4 linked regions of the Cricetulus griseus genome follow. The protein of the gene in region 3 interacts with the protein of the main gene of each other region in a pairwise test. Links are inferred from orthologs where the notes say so. Each region holds a gene or a part of one and is shown on either strand. Other genes may lie near its edges. The genes, in order: Suv39h1, Incenp, Cbx5 and Prr14.

The links.
Region 1: the proteins of Cbx5 (region 3) and Suv39h1 interact in binary tests that used the Homo sapiens proteins (3 or more experiments, as listed by UniProt). The link is inferred for Cricetulus griseus from reciprocal best matches to the Homo sapiens genes CBX5 and SUV39H1.
Region 2: the proteins of Cbx5 (region 3) and Incenp interact in binary tests that used the Homo sapiens proteins (3 or more experiments, as listed by UniProt). The link is inferred for Cricetulus griseus from reciprocal best matches to the Homo sapiens genes CBX5 and INCENP.
Region 4: the proteins of Cbx5 (region 3) and Prr14 interact in binary tests that used the Homo sapiens proteins (3 or more experiments, as listed by UniProt). The two-hybrid records come from large-scale screens. The link is inferred for Cricetulus griseus from reciprocal best matches to the Homo sapiens genes CBX5 and PRR14.

What each region holds. Positions count from the first base shown.
Region 1 is NC_048604.1:114,537,169-114,545,553, forward strand, and holds the start of Suv39h1 (histone-lysine N-methyltransferase SUV39H1), read right to left. Parts: upstream 5,216-8,385; 5' UTR 5,042-5,215; coding exon 5,020-5,041; intron 3,651-5,019; exon of another isoform or gene 2,658-3,650; coding exon 2,497-2,657; intron 2,407-2,496; exon of another isoform or gene 2,258-2,406; intron 1,298-2,257; coding exon 635-1,297; intron 418-634; exon of another isoform or gene 1-417. UniProt on the Homo sapiens protein: Histone methyltransferase that specifically trimethylates 'Lys-9' of histone H3 using monomethylated H3 'Lys-9' as substrate. Also weakly methylates histone H1 (in vitro).
Region 2 is NC_048596.1:50,572,029-50,579,837, reverse strand, and holds part of Incenp (inner centromere protein), read right to left. Parts: intron 6,288-7,809; exon of another isoform or gene 5,557-6,287; intron 4,482-5,556; exon of another isoform or gene 4,442-4,481; intron 3,300-4,441; coding exon 3,248-3,299; intron 2,175-3,247; coding exon 2,117-2,174; intron 1,998-2,116; coding exon 1,880-1,997; intron 923-1,879; coding exon 871-922; intron 464-870; coding exon 349-463; intron 278-348; coding exon 143-277; intron 1-142. UniProt on the Homo sapiens protein: Component of the chromosomal passenger complex (CPC), a complex that acts as a key regulator of mitosis.
Region 3 is NC_048595.1:399,579,755-399,587,563, forward strand, and holds part of Cbx5 (chromobox protein homolog 5), read right to left. Parts: intron 4,182-7,809; coding exon 3,995-4,181; intron 123-3,994; coding exon 22-122; intron 1-21. UniProt on the Homo sapiens protein: Component of heterochromatin that recognizes and binds histone H3 tails methylated at 'Lys-9' (H3K9me), leading to epigenetic repression. In contrast, it is excluded from chromatin when 'Tyr-41' of histone H3 is phosphorylated (H3Y41ph).
Region 4 is NC_048596.1:73,282,869-73,290,071, reverse strand, and holds the end of Prr14 (proline-rich protein 14), read left to right. Parts: coding exon 1-81; exon of another isoform or gene 82-156; intron 157-345; coding exon 346-417; intron 418-527; coding exon 528-696; intron 697-1,347; coding exon 1,348-1,469; intron 1,470-1,540; coding exon 1,541-1,730; intron 1,731-2,635; coding exon 2,636-2,679; intron 2,680-2,775; coding exon 2,776-2,981; intron 2,982-3,333; coding exon 3,334-3,919; intron 3,920-4,054; coding exon 4,055-4,124; intron 4,125-4,200; coding exon 4,201-4,292; intron 4,293-4,387; coding exon of another isoform or gene 4,388-4,442; exon of another isoform or gene 4,443-4,562; intron 4,563-4,568; coding exon 4,569-4,640; intron 4,641-4,729; coding exon 4,730-5,006; 3' UTR 5,007-5,110; downstream 5,111-7,203. UniProt on the Homo sapiens protein: Functions in tethering peripheral heterochromatin to the nuclear lamina during interphase, possibly through the interaction with heterochromatin protein CBX5/HP1 alpha. Might play a role in reattaching heterochromatin to the nuclear lamina at mitotic exit.

The sequences.
Region 1 (8,385 bases), on a different chromosome or scaffold from region 3:
TACTACTGCTACCTTTTAATACCATTCCTCATGCTGTGGTGACCCCCCAACCATAAAATTATTTTCATTGCTACTTGTCATTTTGCCACTGTTATGAATTGTAATGTAAATGAATTGTAATATAAATATCTGTTTTCTGATGATCTTAGGTGACCCCTGTGAAAACCCCAGGGGTTGCAACCCACAGGTTGAGAACCACTGGTCTAGAGGATCTTGCCAAACCTCCATCCAAGTTGAGCCTACATGCTACTTTAGATTTACTGTTTGTGATACAATGACCCTATCTCAAAATGAGGAGAGAACTTGCCTTTTCAGGTGATGCAACCCTATGCCCAGACCGCATAGCTTTGGAAAGGTTTGCCACCTGAAGCTCGGGTCCCACTTTCTTTGCTGTATGCCCTCATGAAGCCAGTTGAGGTGAGAAGTACTTCAGTGTTCTTTTAACTACCAGCATGGTCCTGCTGATGTATCAAGTAAAATTGCTGACCCCTGCTATGATGTTCCTATGACACTCAGACCAACACCTTAGACTTTTCTCACAAGGAAAACAGAGTTTTAGGAACATGGTTTAGGCACAAACACTACAAACACATAGTGGGAAAAGCTGCACACATACCCAGACCCATCTCCTCACCTCTCCCACATACTCCATAACAAAGCTATTTTTGCGGATCTTTTCCAGCGTGCGGACACCCCAGCCTCGCCCATCATTAGTACGGAAGATGCAGAGGTCGTAGCGGATGCCTTTCTGGACTACACGGTTAGGGCAATCATAGCCACAGCAACATCGGGAGTTACACTCGTAGATGGGCTGACCAGCTTTCAGCCGCACTTGGCCTTGGTCATTGTAGGCAAACTTGTGCAGGGATGCTCCAGGGCAACAGCCTCCAGTGGGTGCCAACAGACAGTCCTGGCACTCACAGCCAACAGCCACCTGGTTGAGGGTGATGCCCTCACCAACACGATACTCATTGATATAGACAAAGGACCGTGGAGGGCCATCCAGGTCTACCTCATTCTCCACAGTGATGCGTCCCAGGTGGCTGCGCTTGGCATTGAGCTCTTGCTCCCAGCGCTGCAGTGCCCGCCTCTGCTTGGCCTTCTGCACCAGGTAGTTAGCTAAGTTTGGGTCCAGATGCCTGGGTGGCTTTGACCGGCGGTGCCGCCGGAGAAGCTCTCTTTCTAAGTCCTTGTGGAACTGCTTGAGAATGCGCACACACTTGAGATTCTGCCGTGGCTCCCAAGTGTTTTCTGAGTCGGGATATCCACGCCACTTAACCAGGTAGTACTCTTGCTCCTGTTAAGAGGACAGGGACAGAAGGGTACCATAAATTTGAGACCCTTGTGGCAACAGAGAACATTCACCCCACCCCACACTACTCTAGAATGGTTCCATGCAGTGCCTCTGGAGTAAAAATTACTAAATCCAACTTCCACTCACCCTCTTATTATCTGTTGAAATTCCTACTTTTCAACCCCCCAAGACCACTTCCTCCTCTATATTCCAATGATCTGTTCAGGCCCAAAACCCTGTAGTTATTCTTGGTTCCTCTTTTGCTCACACTCCCCAATAAATACACTCAGAATCTGACCCCTTTACTGCATTAAAACATTGCCACTGCAGCCAGTCAGTCCTCTGGTAGGTGCCTCTACTGATCCCCCTGTTTTTACCCTCACTGTTTCAGTTTTCTGCACAGTGCCAGGGGAGGGGGAGCTTTAATTGCTGGGAGTCAGCCATAGGACAGAGTTTAAAATGGCAATCTGTAGCTTCCTGGCTATGTTGCCTTAGGCAAATAAAGCATGCCATGTCTGTTACCTCATCTGTAAAGAAGAAAATATATAAGTGGGAGGAGGATTATATACATAAAATATACACATATCTATAATGCCATCAGTAAACTGAGGCAGAAGGATTCTGCGTTTAGGAACAGTCTTTACAACATAGCAAAACCCTGTCTAAAAATAAAGAAAAAGAGAAAAGGAAAAACAGTTAATATTTTTTTGTAGCACTCGCTATGTAGCAGGTATTTTCCTGAGCAACTGACACACCCTAGAATTCTTACAACTCCAGTCCTCCCCATTTTACAGACAGGGAAAATGAAGACTACATTTCAACTAACCAAGTTGCTTTCAGTGGGCTCTAATACCGCATAACCTTTTCTGGCAGTTAACAGTTACTGTATCATCTTGCATTATCAGAGTTTAAAAAGTTTCTAGTGTGCATACTAAGTATTGTCATCTTTACTTTCACTCCTAGGTTCAGAATCTCAATCTTTGTATCCCGCAAGTACAAGTGGAAAAGACATTCTTTGAGGATTCATTCTGCCTATATTTCTGAGAAAGCTACTTGATTTCCTTGCCTGTAAAATGGAAATAAGACAGTCAATTCATCCCATTTTACCCCAGGTGAAAATCCTCTTTGTAAAGAGATGTGGGGGTTGGGTGGGGAAGAGGGTCCCCTGCCAGGGCAGTCTCACACATCCCCACCAGACTTACACGGATCTTCTTATAATCACACAGGTACTCGACTTCAAAGTCATAAAGATTCTTCTTAGAAACGCCAAGGGCGGGACAAGAAAGCTTGGCCAGTCGGCACAGATCCTGAAGCTGATTCCAGGATGATTTGCAACATACTCTGCAGCCTGGAATGAGAAGGCCTAGGAATCACACAAAATTTAATCAGGCCTTAACCAAAGCTAAGACCCTCTACAACAGGACCATGTCAATTCCTTGAAGCCTAATACCCAGGGAAACTCCTGGAGAGGAGCCTGCCCACAATGCAGTCACCACACCCTTCTTTCCCTGACACCAAAGAGTCCAGTTCTCCTATGAGAGAGGACCCATCCAATCTTCTAATCCAAAGCCTGCCCCCTAACCCTGGAACAGCAAGGCTGTAAATGGATCTTGTGGCATGGACTGCATGTAAAGGGATCTAAACACTCCCAGAACTTAAACTGCCTGCAGACTTGCTTCAAGTTCAAGACCTAATCACCTCTCTATCCACTTTGCAAAAGAAAGACAACAGCTTCCTAGCTCCATAGGGTGCATGCCCTAAAGGTGTGTGGGGGGAGGATGAAAATCCCCAGGGTACCAAACAGAGGTGTTAACTCTGAAGCCTGGTCTTCAATCACTTAGCTGAAACTCCTGTGTATTTCGGAATTTTAAAAAAATGGGGATTTTTAAAAAATGTAATTTTAGACCCGGCGGCGGGGGTGCACGTCTTTAATCCCAGCACTCCGGAGACAGAGACAGGTGGATCTCTGTGAGTTTGAGGCCAGCTTGATCTACAGGGCAAGTTCCAGAACAGGTTCCAAAAGGCTAAAGAAAAACCCTATCTCGAAAAACCAAAAAAAAAAATGTAATTTTTAGACACATTAACAGCAAAGTCTGGGACATCAAGCCATCCATAATCAAACACATTAACAGCACACATATCTACAGCAAAAGCCTGAATTTTCTACGTTAAATATCCTCAGTGAATATCAATCCCACTTTGAAGATCTCCCTTTGTGCCGGTTGGTGGAGCTGCCAGCACTCAGGAGGCAGAGAAAAGCAGCAGATCTGAGTTCCAGGCCAACCTGGTCTATAGAGCAAGTTCCAGGATAGCCAAACCCAAAAAGAGAAAACCTTTGGTGGCACACGCCTTTAATCCCAGCATTTGGGAGGCAGAGATTGGAGGATCTCCGAGTTTGAGACCAGCCTGGTCTACAGAGTTCCAGGACAGCCTCCAAAGCCACAGAAAAACCCTGTCTCAATCCCCCCTCAAAAAAAGAGAGAAAACCTGTCTTGAACAAACAACAAAAAAGATTTCCTTTTGCCATGATTTAAGAAAAACTATTTTTAGGGCTTTTTATATTTTGAAATTATAAAGATTGTGTAAAGGTGTTAAATTAAGCTGGGTGTAGCAGTAAATGCCTTTAGAACCAGCCCTTGGGAGGCAGGGGCAGGCATATCTCAGATCTCTGAGTTCGAGGTCAGCCAAGTCAACACAAAGAGACCCAGTCTCGGAAAAACAAACAAAAAAAGATACAAGCGGGGCGGTGGTGGTGCACGCCTTTAATTCCAGCACTCCGGATGTAGAGGCAGGTGGATCTCTGTGAGTTCGAGATCAGCCTGGTCTACAAGAGTGAGTGCCAGGACAGCGTCCAAAGCCACAGAGTAACCCTGTCTCGGAACCGCGCCCCCCCCCCCAAAGATGGAACATTACTGAGAGCTTCCTTGACTTAGTCTGGGCTATTTTATACACCCAAGGTCTACTTTTCCAGACTGCATTATCATTTGTCTTATCCCATGTTTCCGTGAAAAGTACAACTCAATGCAAAGGGTTCTGCGTTCAATTCAGGAACATGTAAACAGTACATGTGGTAAGTCAGTGACACTATCACGAGGGTCTCTAAAACTGTTCAAGACAAACGGACTTAAAATACATTTTTCCTTCAAAGCACACCCATTATGTGCTTTCAAAGCCGTTTTTTAAAAAATCACATCATGTCACAAAACACCTGATGCTAACTGTATGCTGTCGCTATCCAATGCCGTTTTTTTAAAAATGCTGAATATTTTCTGCCCCGTTATACAACTCAAACCTAAAACAATCCGAATGAAATAAATACTCTAGATTGTTCACCTAAAAACATACAGGCACTTTTCAAAATCATTGCGTGTACACCCATCCTTTAGCCAAGGCCCAGCGAAACTAAGCCTCCTCCTCCGAGGCCTTTGCTTTCCCAAAGCCTTCAACCTGCATTTGAAAACCCTCGGAAGTGGCCCCAAATAAAATTTCCAGCATCTGGCTGCGCACTAAGCACAGCTGCCGTAGCCCTCGGAGCTCCGGCTCACACTTGTGGAATCTATTCTCACAGCTCCACTCACTGCCGAGGAGCCTGCCCAACACACAGTCACCCCTCTTTTCCTGCACATGGAGGAGTCCAGCCCTCCTATTACCGAGGCCCCCATTCTCTCTTCTGAGGAGAATCTTCTCCCCTAAACCTTGCCCCCTCACGCCTATATCCTTCCCACCTAGAGCCGCCGGTTCCCCCATTTTGAGAAGAGGGTCCGTTCCCCTTTTTCCTCCCCTTCCGGCGTCTCCCGTGAAAAGCGAAAGGGTAATGGTCACCAGGAGCCGCTTTTCCCGCGTGTGGTCGCAACCTTCTCCTCAGGACTCTCTCGCGCGCGTGAACGCGCCGGCCGTCAGCGCGCGACCGAGAACCCCTGCGCGCAGCCTGCGCAGCCCCGCGCCCCCCGCGGCCGAAGCACGCGCCCCCTCCCCTCAGCCCCGCCCAGCCCGCGCGCCGGCCCGCGCTCTTCAGCCCCATCTTTTCCGCGCCGGCTCTCTAGCTCCAGGCTTCGTGGCTCCGGACGCCTAGCCCGGAGCCCTGGACACCTTCCCTCCATTCTATTCCACCGGGCCAGTAGCCTGCGCCTCAGCCACCACAGCTTCACCTTTTAAATTTTCCGCCATCTTTCTCCACAGCTAACGACATTCGGGCCTAGCAGGCCTCGCGAGAAGAGAGCGCGCGCGGGCGTGGTCGGGGACGCGCAGCCTATTGGTCGTCGCTCAACGCCCGCAGCCCCCGCGCGGACCAACCGGTGAGCCGTGACCGAACCCCTCCCGTCCCCAGGAGCGGGTCTCCAAGCCTGCTGCTCGCTGCTCTTTCCCAGAGTGCGTCTGGGCAGTAGAAGTGGTTGAAGTTGCTCAAGGCCCTGCCCCGTCCGTCACATTGCTAGCCAATCACATCGCGAGCCATTCATAAAGGGACTGTTTTGTCAGACTCCAATTATGTCCGTCATTATATTTTAACCTCAAGCAGGCATTCACTTCCAGGATGGACCTAGCGCTATATATAGGTGCACAGTCGGTCACCTGATTCAAATAAATAATAAGTCAGTCGCCGCAGTCACACGTCCATTCAGATCCCTTGCCTGTGCATTCGCATTGTGCATTAGTCAATAGTAGCATCCATCTGTGTCCTCCAGCCCTCTGAGTCCACTGAAGTACATCTTATGTGCTGTTATACAGCCTACCATTTCCTCAAACTGTCCCCATCACATTGTCAGCCAGTCAGCCCTTTCCTCCAACTGCAGTCAACATGGCACCAGCTGACATTATCCCTGAAGGAAGCTACAATGTCCACCTATGTCCCGAGGTAGCCTGGGATCAGGTCAGGACAAATCATTGTCAGCTCCCAAAAGCTCTCTGGACAGTCACACTGCCACGTGGTTATGGTGGTTCACTTTGTTACTCCCCATTTACACCGTGATCAGTGGCCACAGCAACTAGGTAGACCCTCACTATAGGGAGGGGTGTGATGAAACCTTGGGGGGGGGTCACCTGTCAGTGGATTCTCTGGTTTAAGGGGAAAACTCCATGTGTGAGAACTGGCTGCTAAAGGCAGAAGATGCTGACAGACCTAAGAAAGAATTGGGCGTGGAGCTGGGGAGATAGATGGCTCAGTAAAGTGTCTGCCATGTAAACAGAAGAGCTTGAATTCAGAGCCTCAGCACCCATGTAAAAAACCAGAGGCAGCACCAAGTGTGTAACAGCAGTATGGGAGGGACAGCAGTCAAAGAAGATGCTCAACATTGACCTTTGCCCTACAAATGTGCATGTACACACACATACAGGCACCAAAAAATGTAATAAATATAAAAATAAAGTGCATGAGCCGGGCGTTGGTGGCACAAGCCTTTAATCCCAGCATTTGGGAGGCAGAGGCAGGCGGATCTGTGAGTTCGAGACCAGCCTGGTCTACAAGAGTTAGTTCCAGGACAGCCTCCAAAGCCACAGAGAAACCCTGTCTCACAAAACCAAAAAAATAAAAAAATAAAAATAAAGTGCATGGGTGGTGGTGGCTTATGCCATTAATTCCAGCACTCGGAAGGCAGAGGCAGGCAGATCTCTATGAGTTCAAGGCCAGTCTGGTCTCCAGAGTTAGTTCCAGGATTTCTAGGGCTGTTATACAGAGAGACCCCTGTCTCTAGAGAAACAAAAAACAAAAAACAAAAATAAAGTGGATAGCAATCAAGGAAGATGCCCAACAAAGACCACTAGCCTACATATTTGTATGCATATGTACGCAGTCCACGGGAACATGTACATTTACCAGAAGAATCAGAAAAATCCAGATTTCACAAAGTGCAATTTATTACAGACTTGCAGACTTAATTGTTTCTCTAGTGTCAGCAAAACAGGAGAAACTATCAGCAGGAGAAAGGATTTTATATGGTACACAAAGTTGAACGTGGCCCATCAGTTATTTTTCTAAACCTATTTCATTAAATATCCATTCAGAACATTTTGTCCATCAGTAGTTAGCATGAAATGTTCATCTGACTTATCTTAATGGCTTTGTTCATCCTATAGGTTTAGAAAGTGCTGAGGTCATATGCCTCACCACCTGAGGTTATGACTAAAATGGCTGTGGTCATGTCAAGCTGGTTTTCTATAATGAATGAATCTACCATTTCTCGTTCCCACTAAGAGTCAATGAGTCAATATCTTCTGATGTGTTGGGTCCTTTAGAGAAACTTGGATTCTATCGGGATGGACAGTCTGCAACTATATACATCCAAGGAGTCGGGGCGCTTCATTGACAGCTCTTAATCGGCTGCCCTGTGACTTATTCATCCTTCTTCTCATCATGTTGTCAGACAACCAGGTAATGAGTCTCACTCAGCATCCCACTAACCAGACTACCTGTGGGTGATCGGTCAGAACCCTCAGTATCATGTGATTCAGCCAAGGTAGACAACCAGCCACCAGAAATAGCTGCCTAGCAGGAAACTACAGACTTCATCAGTCAGCCTGAAATGGCCAAGGTTAGCTCTGTTGTTAGAGCTCCCACATTCATTTCCTCATCCCTGAAAAAGGCCAGTGACTCAAGGACAGACTGGGACCAAAGGAAAATCTTTCTTTGGAAAGTCAGCAAGCAAAAGAAGATAGGAGACCATCATCAACAAACACCATCTTGTTTAGGTTCTACAGATATAAGGCAACCAGGGGATTTAAGGAAATTATCTCTCTAGTTTGAGGAGGGCTGGGATGGTCATAAATTCCACAGTGCTTTTCTGAAAACGTAAGCTGTTGTCTGAAGGACACTGGATGTTCCCGAGTCCGTAAATCTAGAGAAAAGTTACTGATTAGCAAGTTTGCTGACTCGTTTCTTTATGTCAGGAAGTTGCTTAACCTTGAGATTTAAGATACGGAATAAGGCAGGGAGCACAAAGAAACTTTTGCCAGGGGACAAGTTAAGCGATTAAGCAGCTCTATTCAGAGGATTTATCTACAGCAAATCCAGTGGGAGACTAATAAATTGTTTGCCTTCATGACCTCCAAAATTAGGAATTTTATTTGGGGGGTGGGGTAGGTTTGAGACAGGGTTTCTC
Region 2 (7,809 bases), on a different chromosome or scaffold from region 3:
AGGTCAGCACAGCACCACAGTATTGAAGCAATCCCTGGCTACAGAGGTTTTAACTGGCCCACACTACTTCCAGCAAACTAAGAGTCTTCAACCACACTGTCCCAGCTCCAGCGAAGCACAGCCAGGGGACAGGCTCCCTTACCTTAGGGTCCACACGGAGGGGAGTGTTACGTTTAATGAAGGACTTCATGACACTGCTACGGGAAGCCAAAGTAGGGGTCATGAGCATCTGGTTCTTCTGCACTGTGTGCAAGAAAGTCCGGAGGGGTCGTACCACCTGCAGACCAGGGCCAGGGTCAGCAAAGAGCAGGCAGGGCACACACCAAGCAAGGACAAGAACCTGCTTACCTTGTTGGCTGGACAGGGTGGGGAAGGGGTCTTGTTCTGGGGGGGTTGAAGCTCCTCATCCTCTGGCTGCTCCTCATCCGGTTCACTCATTGCCTGCTTGTAGCTGCGTTTCCTTCTGCCCAGGACAGGACACATCATGAAGAGGACCCAAGAACCCACCTCATAGCCCTATTACATCCTATAAAAATCACCCTTTGCAAACAAGTCTGGCCTCAAGCCACAGAACTCCAGACTGGAAGAGACTGCAGACCAGCCCTTTGCTGCCCAGAAAAATGTCACTGGCCAGTCAAAGGTCACAGAGCCAGAAGGATGAGGAGGGACATGATTACCCATTCCCAAACCAGCATCTACAGCACCATGCTGCTTCCTTTGTTTAGTCAGAGGATCGAGTCATGACACCAACCAAGAAGCAGAATGCCTGGCCACATACCTACCCTCCCTACAAAAGGACCCCAGCTTGGTTCAAACCCCTCTGGAACCCTCAGAACAGAGCTGCCTGCACACCCCTTCCCAGGTGCACACCTGACACTCTGAGGTGCTTTTCTGTGTCCATCTGTTTGGTCAGGCTTGGCTTCTGTGAAGAGAGCAATTTCAGAGAGGTTGTATGGATGATGCCAGTGGAGTATACATGCAACTTTTAGGGAAGGGGTACAGCAGCAACAGTTACAGCAGGAGCAAGGTAACCCAGGGAGCATGGTAACCCTAGGGTGGCCAATGGCAGAAACACCAATCTAAGCAGTAACTAGCCTTGAGCCCAGTATACTGGCCCCCAAGTCAGGTCCTCCAGCCCAAACCCTTGTCAACAGTGACACAAATGACAGGACAATATCACCAATCTACATGCCACTCCCTCTATCACAAAAAGCTATGTGCAGAAACCTTATAACAAGCTGTAAACTCTACCACAATCAAACACACCTCTCTTAGCCTGCAGTTGGTACCTCCATGACAGGAGAAAAAGGTTCCTTTCATGGGGACATCATACAGGGCATAGGACATTCTATTTCACACCAAGAGGAAGTGCCCTTTAACTCCAAAGGGTCTTGTAGCAGTCCTGGGAGCTTTCAGGCTGGCACAACTATCCTTGGCCCCTTCATAAACAGGATGCTTTGCTCAAACCTTACAGCTGCCATTTCTTTACACTAGAGAAATCCACCTCCACAGAGAAACAGGAGCCAGACTCCAAGAGCCTACTAGTAGCCTGGGAAGCCAGGCAGGGCTCCTGACCAACTGCGAAAGCCCACAGTAACCCGGCCCTTTTTCAACTAGAAGCGGGAGCAAGAAGCTAGGTAGGCATTCAGAGCCCAGCCTGTATTTCTTCATGAATCCCTTGGAGTGGGCACCTTCAAACCTTTGCCTCATTCACGCCCTTCCCTCTATGCTTCCTAACCAGCCATCTATAGTTACTCATGGGATAGTCAGCAGCAGCTTTAGCCAGAAGGTCATAACCTCTTCAGGCTTAATTTATCTTTGGCCTACAGACCAGAAAATGGGGCTCTGTATCCCAAGAGACAGGGCCAGGCCAACTCACCTTGCTGCTCTTCAATGGATGCTGCCTGGCCACTGGCCACAGGCTTCAAGGTAGGCGTACTAATCACAATCTTGGTGGCACTGTGGCGCTTTGAGGTACAGCCACTGTTCTTGGAGACCTACAGGAAAAACCAAGGCTTGAAGAAGCCCACATGGATCCTGAGCTCAGGATAGCTGCAGCACATAGCTTCAGACCTGGAGGGCTCGAGTCCTACCCATTTCTGGCCTGTGGTCTTACCTCTGTCTCCTCTGCTGCCTCCTCAGATTCAGCCTCCTCAATGGGCTCCTGCTCCAGACTGAAAGCAAAGCACAGCACTATGAGAACTTTTAGTTAATTTCCTCAAGTTAGGGTCAATGTTAGGTGACCAGACCTGGACCACAAACCAACAGTCTAGGCTGGATAGGAAGACAGCAGCCATTACTAGTGGCTTCCTGAGTAGAGAGTGATGTCAGTTTCTGAATTTTTTTGGTATCATCCTGTCAAGGATCTCATTTGGGATGGGAACCTGATCTGGTCTGGAGCTTCAGTGTCCCCAAAGACTTATGTATTCAAGGCTTTGTTCCCAGAATACAGCTAGTAGGATGCAGTGGAAACTTCAACAGGTGGACCTAGCTGGAGAACTTTGGCTTATTAGGGGTATGCCCAAGAAGGTGAGTATGGAACCACAGCCCCCCTTCTCCTATCAAGTTCCAGCCATGAGGTAGAATAGTTTTGTTCTACCACACTCTTGTCATGATGTACCATTCCTCCAAAGCGGCAGAGCAGACTGGTCACTAATGGAAGGCTCTACAACTGTGAGCTAAGATAAACCATTTTCCTTTGTAAGCTGAATATCTTAGTCATTGTTCCAGTAATACAGTGGCACACAAGTACTTTACCCAGGTCAGTCTTAATCTATGGGGTCCAGAAAAATCCCATCTCTTTTGAAACCTGCTCACTACTGGGGGGTTGGGGAAGCAGCTAAGCCAAAGGTTTTCCCAGACCCCACTTCCTCATCCCAAGCACTGAACCTCTGCCCCAAAGTAAGGAAGGGCTAGTTTAGGATAGCAGAGTAAGACCTCTGAGAAGTCAGTGTCCTGGCCCTAAGTAATGCTAGGTCTAATCCAGACAGGAAGCACCCCTGAATCCCAAATCACCCCACTTTAAATGGTTGTTATGCCTCATTTACAGCCATGGAACTCATGAGCTAGAGCTGACAAGTGATACAGATGGAATGTTGTCTAGAGACCTGACAGTCATGTTGCTTGCTGCCTGGTTACACAGGAACCAGGCTAAGGGAGCATGGCTATCAGGAGTGCTGTGGAGAGTCCAACCTCCACCCCCATGTGCCCTGACCACCCCTGTGGGAGACACTGGCATGGAACTTACCCAACTTTCTGAGGCACTTCGACATTCAGGAGTCTCTCCAGGTAACTGTGACCTGAAGAGAAATTGGGGGAGGGGGGGATGCTATTGGAAACCAGTCAGCAACCAGACCAAGAGATCCAGGAAGTTTTGACAAGGGCATAATCACTACTCCTTTCATAGACACACACAGGCCTCTCTGTGCCCTGATCTCACCCTCATTCATCTTCACACGCCCAATGCAGCTGTTAGCTTTATGCCACTTGTCTAGCAGGCACACCTCCACCTCTTCACTAGGCTAGCAGTAGCTTGGAAAGATGGATGTCTGAGTAACACTGGGCCCCAACATAAGCAGCTTACTCACACAACAAATATTCCAAGTACCTGCTATGTATTGGGTTCTAAGTCGGGTGCTAGAGGCTCAAAGCAATGATAAGGAAAACTAAGGCCACTGCCCGGTCTTCCTACCAGCATCAGGTGATCTTATACAGTAAACTAGGGTACGAGCAGCCATCAAGTCAAGGATGCTGAAGCCTAGATAGGGAGACCTGAAATGAAGCCAAAGGGGAGGAGGAGGAAGAGGAAGATGCTGTTTTTCAAAGTGTGTTCTCCAACTGCTGGAAATACTTGAGACCCTTTTGGATATGCAAAGGTCTTAACTAGTTTCACCACTGTAAAGTGTGACTTTTCCTTCTTACTATATTAACATTAGCCCAAACAGCAACAGAGCCAAGGAGAAAATGCTGAAGCTTAGTACCCATCAAGGCTTCATTCAGCACCAAACCCTATCATCCTATCACACCCAGTAAAACAATGCCCAGTTTCAATGAGGGAAGTCCTTGGAAAAGTATTAATTATACGTACGACGGTTCACACCTTTAATCCCAGCGCTCAGGATGCTGGGACAGAGGGATTGTCACAAGTTCAAAGTCAGCCTGAGCTTTATAGTAAATTCTAAGCCTCGCTGGACTACAGAGTGAGATGGGAAGACACTTAACCAAAACCACAAAGTGAAAGAAGGGGCTTGGGGGCCTAGAAAAAGTCCATCTCCTTCCTGGGTCAGGGAAGAAGGCCAGAACTAAGCAGACAAGGAACCAGGGCTGCCCTGGGCCAAAGAAAAACAAGGAAGAGAAGAAGGTAACAAGCTGGAGCAACAATTGGCAGAGCTCAGAGAGAACTGAGCAGTGACAAGAAGCAGGAGTTTCTCCTTTCTGGGCTATGGGATCCAGGCTAGGGGCCAGGAGGGAGCAGCAACAAAGTAAGACTGGCAGCTAGCTATAGGTGCTACCTTGAGGGGGGTCCATGGCCAGAAGATATGTTCCCCTCCTCTGCCCTTGCCTCTCTCTCTCTCTGGTAACTCCAAGCTCCTTGATTGGAGGAGGGATGAGGTAAAAAAAAAGCCAGAAGACACCCAAGTGAACACCTAACTATTCCATAGCACAAAGACTTCCTGGAATGTTAGGCAGCCCCTGCATGCCAGAACTGGTCTAGTGTCAAGAAAGTGGCCTGGCCTAAAGACTGAAGACTGAGGAGGAGCTACCCTCCAATTAAAAAAATGGCCATGAGGCCTGAAGGATAAAGCTGACTACCTACACAGCTGGACTTTCTAGAAACTGCGAAGCAGTGACCCTTGTCCCTGCCTGCCCACTAATGACAAAAAGCTTCCTCCTGGGGAGTGCACACCAGATCAGGAGGACAAAAGGCTTCAGTCCTCTGTGCTCCACCACTAGAATCCTGAGGCCCCTGAACCATCCTTTACCGCCAGTCCCCTTCTCCTTCCTACTCCCCTGCTGCAGGTGTGTCAAAGCTACCTTAAGGAAAACCCAAAGGACATGCTATCTGAATTGCCCACCCAGCCCCACCTCAGAACCTGGCATCAGAAAAGCATCAGGAAGCCTTTGCCTTGCCTTTTCTCACCCCTCAAGTTTCAGTAACACAGCCCCAGGTTAACTTGTCTAAATGAATTACTGAACATATACCATACCCAAGCACTAAGATGAGTTCTCCAACTCCACTCAAGGCAAATGTTATTACCATTTCTGACAGGCAACTGAGCTTAAAAGAGAAGGTATACCCAAGGTCACCTGGGGGCTGAGTGACTCCACATTCTGGAGTCACTTCCTCTATCTCAAGAAGGAATAGGATTGCTAGGCTTAGGATTAGACAGGCTTGCTCACACATAGCCCAGAAGCCCATCCATGGGCAGGGAAGGCTTAAGGAGAAGAGCAACAGACAATGCTGGTCCACTGTTAGGAAAACCGTCACTAATTTGAAGCAAAAACAGGAAAGGAAAAGACTCGAACCAACAGTGTCAGTCACCACTGCATGTGTAGATTCAGACAAGTCCACCGCCACTGGCCACCTACGAATGTGGTGGAACTGACAGACAAACCACTGACAAGTTTGAAAAGGAGGCTACTGAGATAGGAAGCAGCTCTTTCAAGTACGCCTGGGTCTTGGAGAAACTAGAAGTGGGAGCATGGTATCACTACTGACATCTCCCTGTGGAAATTTTACCAGTAAACATGTGACTATCATTAAAGACCCAGGACACAGAGATCTGATCAAAAACATCAGTGCAGACATATCTCAGGATGGCTGTGCGGTCCTGATTGTTGCTGCCAGTGCTGCTAAATCTCAAGCTGGTATCCCCAAGAATGGGCAGACCTGTGAAGATGCCCTTTTGACTTACATTCTGGGTGTGAAACAGCTGATTGCTGGTACCAACAAAATGGATTCCAACAAGTCACCCTACAGCAAGAAGAACTATGAGGATATTAAGGAAGTCAGTACATCATTAAGAAAGTTGGTTACAACCCTGACAAGGTAGCATTTATATCTTTCTGGTTGGAATGCTAACAACATGCTGGGGCCGGGTGATAATATGCCTTCATTCAAGGAATTAAAAAGTCCCCATAAAGATGGCAGTGTCTTTGGGAACACACAGCTGGAAGCTTTAAATTGTATCCTACCACCAACTAGTCCAACTGACAAGCCTTTGCAACTGCCCCTCCACAATGTCTATAAAAGTGGTGGGTTACAACTAATCACTGAATTGAACTAGAATCCAGTTGCAGAGAAGGATGAAAAGAGCAAAGGGGTCCAGACCAGGCTGGTGAAACCCACAGAAACAGCTGACCTGAACATCAGAGAGCTCTTGGTTCCCAGACTGATAGCGGGGATACCAGCATGGGACTGATTCAGACCCCAGGAACATGGGTTTCAGTGAGGAAACCTCGGAAATCTATGGGACCTCCTGTAGTAGTTCAGTACTTATCCCTAGCATAGATGTGAACTTTGGGAGCCCATTCCACATAGAGGAATACTCCCTGAGCCAAGACACACAGGGGTGGGCCTAGGTACTCCCAAAGGATAGGATAGACTCTGATGACACCCTATGGAAGACCTCACCATCCAGGGGGAGCAGAAAGCATATGTGATAGGTAGGGTTTTAGTTTGGAGATGGGGAGGACTAGGGGAGGAGGGGAAGGAGAGGGAACTGGGATTGTTATGTAAAACAATTTTGTTTCTAATTCAAATAAAAAAATCTGCAAAAAAAAAAAAAGTGGGTTGATATACACTATTCCACTAGAAAAACCGAAATCATGAAATCTGCAGATACACAGATTGAACCAGAAAAGATTGTACTGAGTGAGGTAACCTGGAGTAACTGCAGGAACTAGGAAGGCAAAAAGGGGCTGGTGGGGTGGGGTGGGGGGTGTAGAGAAACGAATAGCAGGGTAAACATGATTTGAACAGGGAGATGGAGGAAAAGAAAACAAAACAGGGGCCTTAATTAAGAGAAAGCTGGGCATGGTGGCACACACCTTTAATCCCAGCACTTAGGAGAAGGACCTCTGAGTTCAAAGACAGCCTCATCTACAGAGCGAGTTCCAGGACCACCAGAGCTACAGAGAAACCCTGCCTCAAAAAAAAAAAAAAAAAAAAAAAAAAAGGAGGGGGTGTATGAGATTCTCCCCAATTCCTCCTACCCTTCTCATAGCTCCAGGCTCATCTAGCCCTGTGGACCCTCCCCTGGACCAATTTCAGGGCTGAAGAAATCTAAGAAGGACCTGTGATACCCACCCCACCCCAAGCCTCCTGACAATCCAAAATGGACAGTGTGTCAAACCTCCTGCTGCATATGGTCCAGACTGTCTCTCCAGGCTACAGAGCCTAGAGCCAGGCCAAAGAGAACCTTCTAGAGTGTGGTATCTTCACCTGTCTGACAAACCCCAGCCCCTCAGCACCTGCCTTCCTGGATGGAATACAAGTGGGCTTAAGTCTCAATTTCTGGACTCTACAGCTTGTCAACCTCTGTTTCCTCTTCTAAAAGGTCTAAACCCTGAGGAGCCAAAAGTACTTTGACACAGACATAATGTCTTACATAAATCTCACAAAAGCCAGGTGAACTTACTTCCCATTTACTATGAAACTTGACCTGTCCTTTGACCTGGGTCTTGAAGGAACCTGAGCTAACCTCTTCTCTATTTTTATAGGATTCCTAAGAACCTCCAGCTATCACTGGACTACATCTGCTTTAGTGGCAAGAAGCTCCAGGCAGCCCATCACTTATTACTTGGTAT
Region 3 (7,809 bases):
GACCCAACTTCTTTCTCTCACCATTTCATTAAGAACATTAAGTCACCACAGGAATCTGTTGCCCCAATGATCTTTTCTGGTTCCAGTCCTCTCTCAAAGCCTCGAGCGATATCATTGCTCTGCTATAAATAGAACAGGAGAAATTAGAGCTTGTAGAAAGAATAAAAACAAAACAAAAAACAAACAATGGTTTCTCAGAACAAGAAATCATAGCTTTTAACATCACTTGAAATCATTTATCACCAAATCAGAAAAATCCTTAGAACTCAAGAAACATAATACTAGGTCAACCAGCAACAGCAATGTCAAGACATATTTTTGCAAGAAGATGTAGCTGTCTTTCCTAGTATTCCTTGCAAATGATTAAGGAGGGACCCTAGAAGTCTTTAGCATCCCGTGGGTCTCTAGAGAATCATCTGGTTATTCCTAAAACCCTATCCCTTAGGATATCTTCAGTAACTGTAAGCTGACCCCTCTACTCTTGCTCCCGACACCGTACAAGCAAGACCCTTCTCTTAACTTCAGATATGCTTTTTCAACCATAACCTTTCAGATGTGCCCAAGTTAATATTTCACACAGTCATCTACATTGTAAAAAACAGAGGCAAGAATGGGATATAAGACCAATACTCTAAAAAGGGCAAATTTCAAAGATCACAAACACTAGTTTGCATATACTGGGGAGAGGAGCCCCTGGTCTGCTCACCCCCTTGCAACACAGGCACACTATTAGCATTAACTGGACCCGGACTGAGACTTTTAAGCAACTGAACTGATAACTCATGAGAAGAGCACTAGATGGGGCTGAAGAGATGGCCTTTTTTTTTTTTTTGTCCTGGCACTCGCTCTGTAGACCAGGCTGGCCTCTAACTCACAGAGATCCGCCTGCCTCTGCCTCCCAAGTGCTGGGATTAAAGGCATGCACCACCACCACCCAGCTGAGAGATGGCTCTTCTAGAGGACCTAGGTTCAATACCCAGCAACCACATGACAGTTCACAACTGTCTTTAACATCAGTTCTAGGGAATCTGGCACTCTTACACAGACAGACATGCATGCAGGCAAACACCATTGCATATAAAGTAAAAACAAATCTTAAAAAAAAAAAGTTCCGAACTTGTTCTTGTATAATCACGTGATCTACACACAGAGGCTGATTTGGGTGTAATGGCACTGGTCAGAACAACAACAAAAAAATCTAACTTTATACTTAAGATTTCCCAAATGAACCAAATCTCAGATGTGTGATCTTCCTAACATTTCTCTGATCATCTTACTTTCCTTTGAGACACAAAAGCAGGCCAGTGAGGTGACTCATTGGGGAAAGGGGCTTGCAGGCAAGTTTGACAACCTGGTTTTAATCTCTGAGACTCACATGATAGATGGAGAGTACCAACTCCCACCAGTTCCTTGACCTACACTAGTGCATGATGCCCAATACAATGAACAAATACATAAATGAATAAATGAAAATTTTAAAATAGAAACACAAAAGCTTGCACAGTCCTGGTGGTCCCCAAAGATAACAGAACCCACAATAGGAAAGAAATTCCAGCCATGGATCAATGGGAAGATACTGGCTTTTTAAGACACAGACTCTTTAGGGCATTTAAGGGGAATAGGTTCCCAGATGCAAACACAGATGCTCACAGCTGGAATGCTGGCACAGGGACTAAGTCATACATCATCGCTGGCGGCTGGAAACAGTCTGCTACAGAAGGAGGAAAATGGAAAAAGATTGTTCAAGCTGCTAAAAGGAGCCGAGGTAAGGAAAACACTAAAATCATAGGCAGTAATCTTAAATCAGGCATAAAACCGACCAAGAAATTTCTTCTAAAGTGATCTAAAGAAATGTAATCTCTCCCATACCTCGAAAACATACCACTACTACCTATCCTGCCAGCTGTGTACCTGACAGCTTCCAGTATTGCTAAGAATGCCAGACAAACATGATGATGTAAAGGGTGGGTGGAGGTTGTTTTCAAGGTCAGCAGCTCCAGAACCTAGACACGAAGGCCTCTGAAGTAGTAACCAAGGACTCCAAGACAACCTTTAACAGAACAAAGACCCTAAATTGGAGAAATTTACTATCTCTCACAAATACATAGTCAAGTCTTTGGTTGTGTTATTTTGCTATTTCAACTTGACAAAAGCCAGACTGGGAGGGAGGGAGGGACTGGCTTAGTTAGTAAAGGTACATGCTCCAAGCCTAAAGTACATAATTCAATCCCCAAGACCAACCTGGTGAAAGAAGACAACTGACTTTTCCAAGTTGTTCTCTACCCTCCACACATGTGCAACAGCATACATGCTCACACGAATGCAAAATAAGATGTATCAAAATATGTAAATAGCCGGGCGTTGGTGGCCCACGCCTTTAATCCCAGCACTCGGGAGGCAGAGGCAGGCGGATCTCTGTGCGTTCGAGACCAGCCTGGACTACAAGAGCTAATTCCAGGACAGCCTCCAAAGCCACAGAAAAACCCTGTCTCGAAAAACCAAAAAAAAAAAAAAAAGGCAGTCGGGGGCAGTAGTGGCACACACTTTTGATCCCAGCACTCAGGAGGCAGAGGCAGGCGCAGGCGCAGGCGCAGGCGGATCTCTGTGAGTTCGAGAACAGCCTGGTCCTATTTCCTCAGAAAAATGTTTGTTTTTTTTTTTCTTTCTTTCCCAAGACAGGGTTTCTCTGTATTGCTTTGGAGCCACCTGCCTCTGCCTCCCAGTGCTGAGTGCTGGGATTAAAGGCGTGAGCCACCAACACCTGGCTCCTTAAATTCTTAATCAGTATAGTTTATCAAGATATTCAGACTGCTTGAGAGCCTTTATCATATATTACAGAAGTAGTGATACCCAACAGGAACATAGGCCAAGAATGATACACAAATAAAACCCCAATGCCTTAGTCTACCCATAGATACTCTCAAAAGGTTCATCTTGGATACTGGATGGTCTAAGGTGTAGTCAAAGTTAAGAGTAACAATGTAGAAAAATGGGCATCCAAGCATAATGCAGACAAACAGGGAATTGATGTAAGGATATAGGCTATATAAACTATTTTATTAGATTTTAAGTGTATGATATATTCTTCAAACCTTGAAATAAAATGGAAAGAGGCAAAGTTGGAGGGGCAGAGCGTATTTGTGTAACATGCACATAGTAAAGATACAGAAGAAAAAAAAAGGCAATATGGTATTTATGTTAATATCTTCAATCTAAGAATCAGAAAGATAAAAGCAACTGAACCAAAATTCATAATTAATTGCCAAACTAAACAATGAACAGATAGACACAAAAGATGAAAATTAATTTCATCTTTTGTTTGCTTGTTTTGGTTCTCTGTCTGTCTCCCAAGGGTTGGGATTAAAGGCATGAGGCACCACTGCCCAGTTAAGTTTTGTCTTTTTAATAAAGTAATAAATGTTCTTTATTACTCTTGGTGTGTTCAAGTAGACAGGTTCACATGGAGGTCAGAGGCCAACCTTTCAGCAGGTGGTTTTCTCCTTCCACAATACGGGAGGTTGTCAGGCTTGGAATAGGCCCCTCTATTCCTGAGCCACCTCCTTAGCTACTTTTCCTTAAAAAGAAAAAGTTTTAAGAGTCTTCCTATTGGTGCTAGAATTGGTTCAGTGGCTAAGAGAGCTTGCGGCTCTTCTAGAAGACAGAAACTTGATTCCTAATACTTTCCTCTGGCGCGCGCGCACGCACGCACGCACGCACGCACGCACGCGCACACACACACACACACACACACACACACACACACACACGTGTACTTCTATTGGGGGGGGGGGCTTGCGGTAGCAGTATCACATCAATTTTGACACTTTAGTTAACGAGTCTGTGTTACAGGAGCTCTCCCTTGGCCAGAAGGGGTCACTGTAGTCAACCAACATACTTCCTGGAAGCTTTTGTCTGTCCTTAGACAAGAAATAATAACCAAACTCCCCTTTGCATGACAGTAGCAAAAGGATAGTAAGTGGGAGGAGAAGCTTACCTCTCTCTTTTTTTTAGATTTTATATCATCAGCACTATTAGAGAAACTGGATTTCCTCTTGTTTCCTTCTGACTTCTCCCTGGGCTTGTTGTTTTCACCCTCCTTCATCTTCTTATACTTTTTCATAAACTCAGAAATTAGTTCAGGACAATCCAAGTTCTTCTCAGGTTCCCAAGTATTGTGCTCCCTGAACAATAACAATAAAGACAAAAGGGAAAGACTGAGGAATGGCGGTAACACCCTATTTTTATCCATTTACCATCTCTGCAGAACTTAAGACTGACAAGTTCTAGCAAACTACATCCACAGCCTTTTCAGTGTCAATGCTTACTTTAAAGAGAACATATAAGCAAAGGAAAGGAATTCTATAAAGACTTAAGAGAGGCAGGAGAATCTCTGTGAGTTAAAGCCTAGCCTGGTCTACAGAGTGAGTTCCAGGACAGGCTCCAAAGTTACAGAGAAACCCTGTCTCAAAAACAACAACAACAAAACCACCTAGACTTAGCAAGAGGCTTGAAGTATAGTTTTGTGGTAAGGTACTTGCCTAGGACATGTAATGCCGTAAGTTTGACCCCCAGCTCTACAGAGAAAAAAAAAGATCCAACAAATTTGATCTTAGATTTTCACTGAAGCTTAGGAAAAAGTATATTCACACAAAGTCATGTAAAGAATTATTATAGAAAAAAGGGAGGAAGCCGGGCGTTGGTGGTGCACGCCTTAATCCCAGCACCCGGGAGGCAGAGGCAGGCGGATCTCTGTGAGTTCGAGACCAGCCTGGTCTACAAGAGCTAGTTCCAGGATAGGCTCCAAAGCTACAGAGAAACCCTGTCTCGAGAAAAACAAAACAAAACAAAAAAAAAAAAAAAAAAAAAAAAAAAAAAAGAAAAGAAAAAAAGGGGGGAAATAAAGAACTATTAGAGATGCTGGGGTTGGTGGCATACACCTTTAATCCTAGCACCTGGGAGGCTGAGACAGGCAGATTCCTGAGTTCAAGGCCAGCCTGGTCTATAGACTGAGTTCCAGGACAGCGTCTAAAACAATACAGAGAAACCCTGTCTAAAGAAAAAAAAAAAAAAAAAAAAAAGGCTTTCTTTTGTATTTTCTGACATGTCCTCACAAGATACATTTTTAGAGACATGAAATAGATCAGACTGAGGAAATTTTCTGAAATGGGAGTGTGCTAACAGTTTCACAAATCTAGAAATACTGACCAAAAGACAAAAACAGGAGTTCAAGGCCAGGGCTACACAGAGAAAGTCTGTCTCAGAAAAACCAAACAAAAGACCTTGTCTCAAAGACAAAAAACAAACAAACAAACAGACCAAAAAAAAAAAAAAAAAAAAAAAAAACCTGTACAATTTCAGTGGGTAACTTTTTTTTTGGGGGGGGGGGAGAAGCTGTCAGTGGAATGCACTGTGTAGACCAGGTTGGCCTCAAACTCACAGAGCTGCCTGCCTTTGCCTACTGATTGCTGGGACTAAAGGTTTGCACCACCACCACCCTTAGGTGTGAGTGACTCTTAGGGTACATAAACTATATAGTAATAAAACCTTTTAAAAACTCCCAGTTTTGGCTGGGCATTGGGTGCACAGCTTTAATCCCAGTACTCGAGAGGCAGAGGCAGGCGGTCTCTGTCAGTTCGAGGCCAGCCTGATTTACAGAGAGTTCCAGGACTGGCTCTATTACTACTGAGCTGTCTTGAACCCCCACTCCTCCCCCCCAAAAAAACCTCCCAATTTTGGACTGGAGAGATGGCTCATTGGTTAAGAGTGCTTATTCCTCTTACAGAGACCTGAACATCTGTAACTCCAGGTCTAGGGAATCCAATGCCTTCTGCCCTTTACAGACACGTACATAATAGTATTCACAGACCCCACACAGACAGACAGGCAGATACACACAGACAATTAAAAAAAAAAATCCTTAAAAACAACAAAAACAAGCCCAGTCTACAAGTTAGGCATATAGCTCAGTGGTAAGCATGCTTGTTTAGTCATAAGCCAGGCTCCACGGGTTCAATCCCTTGCAGATTTTCCCAAACAAAAAAGCCCAACTTTAAATCCTTAATTGCCAAGAGTGTGACCTTATATATACAATCAGCTGCCTATAAAAAAGGGTAACTTAATAAGTCACATACCTCTAACTTCTATTGTATTAGATGTTATTTGTAAACTCCAGTAAGTAGGAGCTGGAATGTGTTATTCAAATGTGACAGACTCAAGTCTACTGTCACCATATATACACATACAAAATCTGAAATAAGGCCGGGTGTTGCCTTTAATTCCAACACTCAGAGACAAGGGATCTCTGTTGTGAGTTCAAGCCCAGCCTGGTCTACACAGCAAGTTCCATGACAGCCAGAGCTATACAAGAGATACCCTGTCTCAAAAAACAAAACAAAACAACAACAACAAAACTGAAATAATATGAATGCACAAAACAGGAAGCACTATAATGTAGAAAATAAGTTTTTTGGGGGCAAAGGTCTCATGTATGTAACATGAATAATAAAAGACTCAGAGCCAGATATTGGGGTTCAAGCTTCAAGCTGAAGATCAGAGAAGCAAAGCAGGCAGCCACTAGCCTAGTTCTTACCTCTACCTCAGGCTGAAATCCTCAGAGGCAAATGCTCTCAATTGCTGTCTCCTCTTCCTTATATTCCTTTCTCTACCCAGCCATATCACTCCTGTCTCCACCTCCCTACTGCTGGGATTAAAGGTGTGTGATCCCAAGTGCTGGGATCAAAGGCGTGAGCTCTGTTACTCTTCACTCTTGTGTAGGCCAAGGGTGGCCTTGAACTCAGAGAGATAAATCTGTCTCCTGAGTCCTGGGATTAAAAGTGTTTATCACCACTGTCTGACCTCTATGGCTTGTGGGCAGCTTTGCTTTCTTTCTGAACCCTCAGACAAGCTTTAATACATCATAAATAATAATAATAATATCAGCACACATGTAACCCAGGCTGGCCTCAAACCCTCTATGCAGTCAAGGATAACTTTGAACTTCTCATCCTCAGACTTATCTTTCCCTCCTTTATGTGGTACTGGGGGCCCAACCCAGTGTTCTGTGTATCTTATGCAAGCATTCCTCTAAGACATATTCCCAGCCTTCTTTGTGGGTTTCTATTTTATTTATTTATTTATTTAGATCCAGGGTCTCTGGCTGACCAGGATGGCCTCAAAGATTCCACTGTTCCTGCCTCTCAGAGTGCTAAGATTCATGGTGTGCAGCACCACACCCAGATACTCTCTGAATTTTAAAGACAGTCTTACTATGTAGCCCATAATGGTCTTTAACTCTTGGCAATTCTCTTACCTCAGCCTTCCAAATACATAGATTACATGAATGAACCAAAATGTCTGTTTCAATCTGATAGTCTCAAAGTTGTCCTCTGTATTTTGTACTCATAGCATGGGTTCTAGAAAGTTAAAACTACAACAGTCTTGTGGAATTAAAGCAAGAAATGAACCTACAAAGAAAAAAATTATCATCCCATTCCTTATCCAGAGGCATAGTTCTTCTGTTAGACAGGAAATACTAGGTTGTTTTTTATATATAATACACCTATAACCTGTAATGAATCACAGAATTAAAAAAAAAAAAAAGGTCAATAAACCACAAAGGTAGCATCTATGATCTGTAGTGAGCTTGAAGGAAGTTGTTGAAATTAAATCTAGGGTTTTATGTCTGGGCAGTGCAGACTTGTGACGTTTCTGAGGGAAACAAAAACACTATTGGGGCTGTTTGGGTGACATTTTAGATTAAAAATCTATGGAAGTGGCTGGGTGGTGGTGGCCCACACCTTTAATCTGAGC
Region 4 (7,203 bases), on a different chromosome or scaffold from region 3:
GGCGAGGATCACAGAGGAATCTAGAGGAAACGGAGCCTCCCAGGACCGGGATCCCAGCGGATCCCTGAGAAGCTCAGGGAGGTATCTACAGGGACAAAAGTCCCAGGAGGCTCGATCCGTGGGAGAGCTGTGACCTCCGCGATCCAGTCTCGGCAGGTGCCAGGCAGGGCCCGAGTGATCAAGGCGGCTGCCACGGGAGGACCCGGCTCCGAACGGGCAGCTGGGGGCGCCCTTTCGAGGAAGGGCCTGTGGCCTACGGGGAGCCGCAGGCTGAACATGAAGGGCGGAGTCCCCGGAGAGGAGCTGGCCCTCACTCCCCACTCCCCTGTTCCCCCTTTACCCCAGGCCGCAGCCTGGGATCCCCCAGGGACTCCCCGGAACCATCGCTTTCCCCATGGACTTGCCTGGGGATTCCAGGTGAGAGCGCACCCCGCCTGCCTGCCTGTCTTGAGCCCGGGACACCGGGATCCTGGCGGCTGTACAGAGCCAACAACCGCCTCAGACAACTGTCTTCTTTCACCCTTCAGCCCTTCTAGACAGTCAAGCCTGTGCCGTCAGCCCCTAACTCGAGCACTATGGGAAGCCAAGAGCCCGAAAAGACCGAGGCTGCAGCCCCTAGGGACCCCTTCGTCCTTGGAAAAGGCCTCTCGGCGCGTCCTGGCCGTAGTCCTGGAAGATGTCGTGGCTACAAACAGGGTGAGCCCTTTAATTGAAAGACCCCTCCCCTTTCCCTACACCCCCCACCCCACCACCCGGCTCAGTACTAAAGTCAGACCAGATCTCTTAAACCAACGTTCAAAGCAGTCTCCTTAATGCAAGACTTCTGCATGGTTCTGGGGTAACTCCTATGTCTGTCCTTCCCGCACTCTCCACTGAGCTGGAACCATATTCTACTAAGTATGAGAAACTCTTTTGACTACCCTGCCCCCTGGGAAGTTTGCTGGTGGTGTCTTTGGCTACATGACAGAGATGAGGAAAATGTCACCTTTTTTCCATTTCTTCAGAACCTGGATTAGATTAGATTACTTACATTTCACACCTGTAGCTCCTGACTATAATACCTCACCCCTAATTCAGACCAAATCACTTCCTTTAGGAATCTGAGTGAATTCTAGCCAAAATCTGTCTCCTCTGTGAGTAGGGACACTGAGACACAGAAGATCCTGTCCACTTGGCCTCATTCCATTACTTTGCTCTTTGTTGTTGGTTTGTCTTACTAAGACAGGGTCTCACTTTTTAGCCCAGGCTGGCCTGGAACTCTCAATCCTTTTGTATTAGCCTTGCAAGTGCTGGGATTATAGGCATGAGCCCAGGTTGGCTTTCTTTTAACAACTCTTCCTCTCTTAGGTCCCCCTGGCATACCAAGAGGACACTGCCAGGCCAATGAATCGCAACAATCATCAGGACTCTGTCTACAGTCAGTCACCTGCGTTACCACCCCAGCAAGTCAAGTGGTCCTTCCAAGCCAGGTGAGTGTGACAGGGAAGGAAATAAGCTGAGAACACAGCTGAGCCCACTGATGCTCCTGTTCTTTCTCTAGACCTCCTGACCCACTGCATTTGTGCCGAGAACCCTTGAGCCGGACCCACCAGTCCTCTCCCACCTTGAAGATGAGATCAAGGACAGCCCCTGGCCCAGCAGAGAGCCCTTCACAAAAGATGGACCAGACCACCCAACCTACCCTGGTGGTGGTACTGGAAGACATTGCCAGCCCCAGACAACCAGCTGAGGTATAAGAAAGTATGGTGAAGATGTCTGGGTCCAGCTAAGGCAAGCATGAGGCTGGGGCGGATTTCTGTAAACGTAGGACAACAGAATTTTTTTTAATAACTTATTTATTTTTATTTTATGTACATTGATTGGTGTTTTGCCTGCGTGTATGTCTGTGTGAGGGCATTAGATCCCCTGAAGCAGTTGGGTGCTGGGAATTGAACGTGGGTCCTCTGAAAGAATAGCAGTGCCTCTTTTTTTGTTGTTGGGTTTTTTTTGTTTTGTTTTTTGGTTTTTTGAGACAGGGTTTCTCTGTGTAGCTTTGGAGCCTATCCTGGCACTCACTCTGGAGACCAGGCTGGCCTCGAACTCACAGAGATCCACCTGCCTCTGCCTCCCGAGTGCTGGAATTAAAGGCGTGCGCCACCAACGCTCGGCTATAGCAGTGCCTCTTAACCACTGAGCCATCTCTCTAGCCTGCCCCCCCTCCTTTTTTTTCTTCGAGATGGGGTTTTTCTACATAACAGCCCTGGCTGTCCTGGAACTTGTATTGTAACTAGGCTGGCCTCGAACTCAGAGAGATCCACCTGCCTCTGCCTCCTGAGCGCTGGGATTAAAGGTGTGCACTACCACCCCACCCCCACTTTTTGAGACAGGTTTCACTATGACCTATATCTTGCTATGTAGACCACGCTGACCCAATTTATAGCCTGCCTCTACCTTTCAAGTGTTGGGATAAAGGCTTGTGCCACCGCCCCAATGACAACATTTTATGTGATAGACACTACCTGAATAAAGGGTATAAGAAAAAAATCTTTTCTATACAGCCAAGTAGATATCTGGGGAATAAGTCAGGACATGGAGAGCTGGGGCAGCCAAAGATGGCTTCTTGCTTTTTCAAAACACCTCCTCTGTTTATATCCAGGGTTTTGCTGAAGATGGGCCCAACTTCATTGTTCCAGCACAAAGGTGAGAGGGCTAGGAGAAGGGATTATCAAAGCCGATTATCATCCAAATGTATAGAGCTGGGGGCATTGGGTTTACTTATCTAACCCTTCCTTATAGTACCTTCAGAAGCCTTAAGGGCCAGGGGAAGCACTGGCCAAAGAGGGATCTGGATTTGGAAGCACCACCAACTCTTACTTTGTCCTTTCACGCCAGAGCTGAGCCTATGACAAAAGTTCATCAGCCAGTGCCTACACCCAGAGAACTAGAACCTCCATTCCAACCGTCCACTCTGCCTGCTGACCCTCCAGAGAGCCCACTACCAGGTAAGGACTTGAATGAAGGAATGAGACTCAAAAGTCTCCAGGAGCCAACATGAGCCTGAAACATCAGGGGCAGAACTATGGGTGGGGCTTCACCCTGACCCAGGGCAGATCAGGGTGTACAAAATGTGATTTGGGGCTCAGGAACTTGAGAAGGTCTTATTTTGCTTTGCAATACTGGGGATCAAATCCAGGGCTTAGACGTGTTAGGCAATCCTAATTACAGAACTTTAGGAGCACAGTTACTCCTCTAGAGAGAAGTTAGTGTTTGGGGGAAGAGACTGAGGCTTGTGAGGTGGTGCTTAAATCACCTGGGGGTGAGGAATGCCCGCCTGTGACCCTCTCCTTTCCTCAGCCCCAGATCCTGTTCTGGAGGTCCCATTGACCCCAACACCGTCCAGCCTTTTACGCCCCCGTCTCAGTCCCTGGGGCTTGGCCCCTCTCTTCCGTTCCGTCCGATCCAAGCTTGAGAGCTTCGCTGACATCTTCCTCACGCCTAACAAAGCACCACAGCCTCCACCCCCATCACCTCCCATGAAATTGGAGTTGAAGATTGCTATCTCAGAGGCTGAGCAGTCCAGGGCTACTGAGAGAATTGCATCTGTCAGCCCCCGGCCCCCTATCCGCCAGTGGCGGACTCAGGACAATTCCCTAGCACCTGTCTCTAAGTTATCTCTGGGCCGAAGCTACTCCTGCCCTGATCTGGGGCCCCCTGGCCCAGGTAGCTGTACCTGGCCTCCTGTTCCATCCCAGCCAAGCCAGTCCAGGCCCCGGAGACATACTGTGGGTTGTGGGGAGATGGCCCGGACCCCACCACCTCCTCGGCCCTGTCTCCGGAAAGAGGTCTTCCCTCTTGGAGGTGTGGGAGCCTCACCTTCTCTCACTACATCTTGCTCATCCACTGCATCCACTTCCTTCTTCTGCGAACCAGCAGAACACAGGTAGTGCTCTCAATAAACCCTTCTGGAAGCCTTGGCCACAGCCTGAGCCTGGCCTCCTTTGCTCAGTAACCAGTGACAGAAGACGGGTGTATTGCTGTGTATTTCCTTGTCCCTGACTGTTGACCATCTCTGCAGATTGGGTTCAACCAAGGGGAAGGAGTTAAAAGCCTCAAAGGACAAGGTGTTTTCTGACCCAGAGACCAAGGTAATGAGCAAAGAGACAGGAGTCAGCTGAGGCCTGAGCCCATGCCTTTCTTTCACCCTCTGCCCCATTTTTGCAGACCATGGGAAAAGTTTCTAGATTCAGAATACGGAGGACTCCTGTCCGTCTACAGCCAAACCTTACACCAATGGGGCTGCCTCGACCAATCAGGTGAGAGGCTCAGAGAGCAGGGGAACCTGCCTTGACCAATTAGGTGATAACTCCTATCCCTGAAGGAGTTACCTTGTCTCCTTGTCTCCTCTCAGAGATTGTTGTCCAGCCTGGAAAATTAAGTTTAGCATCGACGTGGCTTGTGCTTAGAACTTCCTCAGATGTCACTTCCAACTCTTGCATGGCCCAGAAACTGAAATTCAGTCAGACTTTACATATACCTTCTCAGGACCTCCTTGCTCAAGGTTTCTCAGTGCCCTCTGCTTTTTGCTTTAGATTGAACAAGAAGGAGTTCACTTTGGAAGAAATTTATACCAATAAGAATTACCAATCACCCACAACTAGAAGGTGAGAAACTTGGAAGGTCTGAGGGCAATAGAGGGCTGTTTGAACCATGGAACATGCTGGTAAACACCTCTTCTCCCTGCCTGGCCCAGGACCTTTGAGACCATCTTTGAGGAACCACGGGAGCGCAATGGGACTCTGATTTTTACCAGCTCTAGGAAACTCCGACGGGCTGTAGAATTTCGGGACAGTAGCATGCCTCGATCCCGTCGACCATCACGAGGGGTCCGCACTGCAGCCAGCAGGACCCTTACTCCCAACTTGGCACCCAGCCAGGATGTGGGACCTCTGCTGCAAGAACGGCTGAAGGAACTAGATGCCTTGCTCCTGGAGGAGGAGATAGATAGGGAACACCCCTGTCAACTCTAGGAGCTCCAACTGTTCATTCATACATCCTTCAGGGAGGGGGAGAATCTCTGGATCAACTGTATTTTTTTCTCTATATTTCTATAAAGTTTTCAATATGTTTGTGATTCCTTTGTCTTCAGCAGAGTTTGAGATCAACTAGTTATACTAGCTGATGTTTCTGTTCGTCACCAAAGGAGTAGAAAAAGGGGACAGTACAAGAGAAGAAAAAAAGGGTTGCAGCAGACAAGGGGTCGGAGAGTGGCCATTAGAGATTCCAACTGCACTCTCAACCCCTGGCAGTGCTAGGGGATCAAACCTAGACTCCTGTACACACTACCTCTCTCAAACTCTTTTATGGGGTGATATTTATGAAGGAAAAAAACAAACAAAAAATGCCAATACAAGACTGAATTACATCATAGAAATTAAAAGGCTTTGGAATAGACTAAGGCCTTGATCAAGATGGTCTTGAATTCTTCCCAGATGCTGTAATCACCCACCTAGGACAACCTATCATAGATACTTGGCTGGTACAAGCCCTATTAGGGAATTTATCAACAAGCAAACAAAGTGAGTTTGTCGAGAAAATATCCATGTTATAGTAACAGCTAGGGCCAATGAACCAGCTAGCTGATAAAAAATTCTTGGCACATAAGCCTTGTTACCAGAACCCCAACACCCACAAAAAAAGCTGAAAGGGAGAAGACAACACAAAGTTGTCCTCGGGCCTCAGCATGCATGTCCCCTATATACGTCATGTCCATACCCCACACAATAATGATATATTTAACATTTAAACACAAACAGATCAGTCACATAAAGGCTTCGGACTGTGGCCAGAGCCCTCACTCTGGAGCTAGAATCCTGGCTGTTGGAATATAGACGCCCTTAATAGAACAAATGGCAAATATTTACCTCGAACTTAATACCAAGTGAATTAGTGTGAAAGAGTACTCCGCACACGAGTGCAAGGTGTTTTTTATTGAGCGCTGGAAGGGAAGACCATCCCTCGAACCCCGCAGAAACAGAAGCTCGGTCTCCACCCCACCGCGGACCCTCGCCCAGCGAGCCTCTGTGCGCCGAGGCGCCGCAGTAGAGCGATCCGCCCAAAGGCCGACAGGAGGCGCTGCCGCCACGCGCCTGCGCGAAATGCCAACAGGCAGAAAGGCAGAAGACCCTACCCGTCAGAGAAGCGCACCTTGGACTGCCAGCCCAACGCCTCCCAGAGGCCGGCGGCCCTCCCACTCCAGGCACCACCTCCCGGCGCCTCGCCTCGTCGCCGTCAGGAGGCGGCCAATGAACGGAGAGCAGGAAGAGGCGGTGGCCTAAGGGGCCGCTCCAAACACATACTTCGGACCAGTCGAGTCACAAGACTTGGGGAGGGCGGGGCTAATCTGACGACCCAATCCAAGATGTGAGGGCGGTTACATCCGGCACTCCCGCGACTTTGACTCCGCCCTTCGCATTGACGTCTACTCACCAACCTATAAACGCCTGAGCCACGGAGGGAGGGGGGAGGAGGCGGAGAGTGGGAGGAGGCGGAGAGAGGAAGGAGGCGTTGGCTGAGGAGGAAGAGGGAGGAGGGGCAGGGAAGTTCTGGCGAAGGAGAGGCCGAAGACTCCGAAGAAGACAACAGGCGGTTACAGTGGAGTTCTTCGCTGCCCAGCGGCCTTTCTGGATCCTTCTAGACACAAGTCAGTCAGGGACGGAGGAAAGGAGGAAGAGTCTTTTATGTCGGAGGACAGGGAAAGAAGCTCCATCCGTCACCGTTGCCTCACATCCGGGGCTTTGGAAGACAGGCTCCGCCCCCTTGCACCTTTCAAGGCTACCGGAGGCGTAGACTTCTTTAAATCTCCTTAAAGGGGTGGGCACCGAACTCGGCCGACTCCAACTCCAGCCTTAAAGGGGAAACCTGCCGAAGCTGACAAACACAACTCCTGTTGGAAGAACTGGGGCAAGAGGAGTTTTCCTACCTCCTGTCCCACGCCAGAAGTTCTTTAAATTCGTCTTAAAGGGGAAGTGGCAGCTTGCGGAGGACTAGAAACTTAACTGCGATTTCTTAAAAGGGACGGCCTGCTGTTTGAAAGCCTCTGGACTCTTTAAAGGGGTGGCCTCTTTCAGCCGGAGGACTTAAGACACTTTTAAAGGGGAGGTCGCGCTTTCCGCCCCTTTTAAAGGGGTGGCCCTTCCTCTTCCTCTGGGAGACTTGCCTCGACCC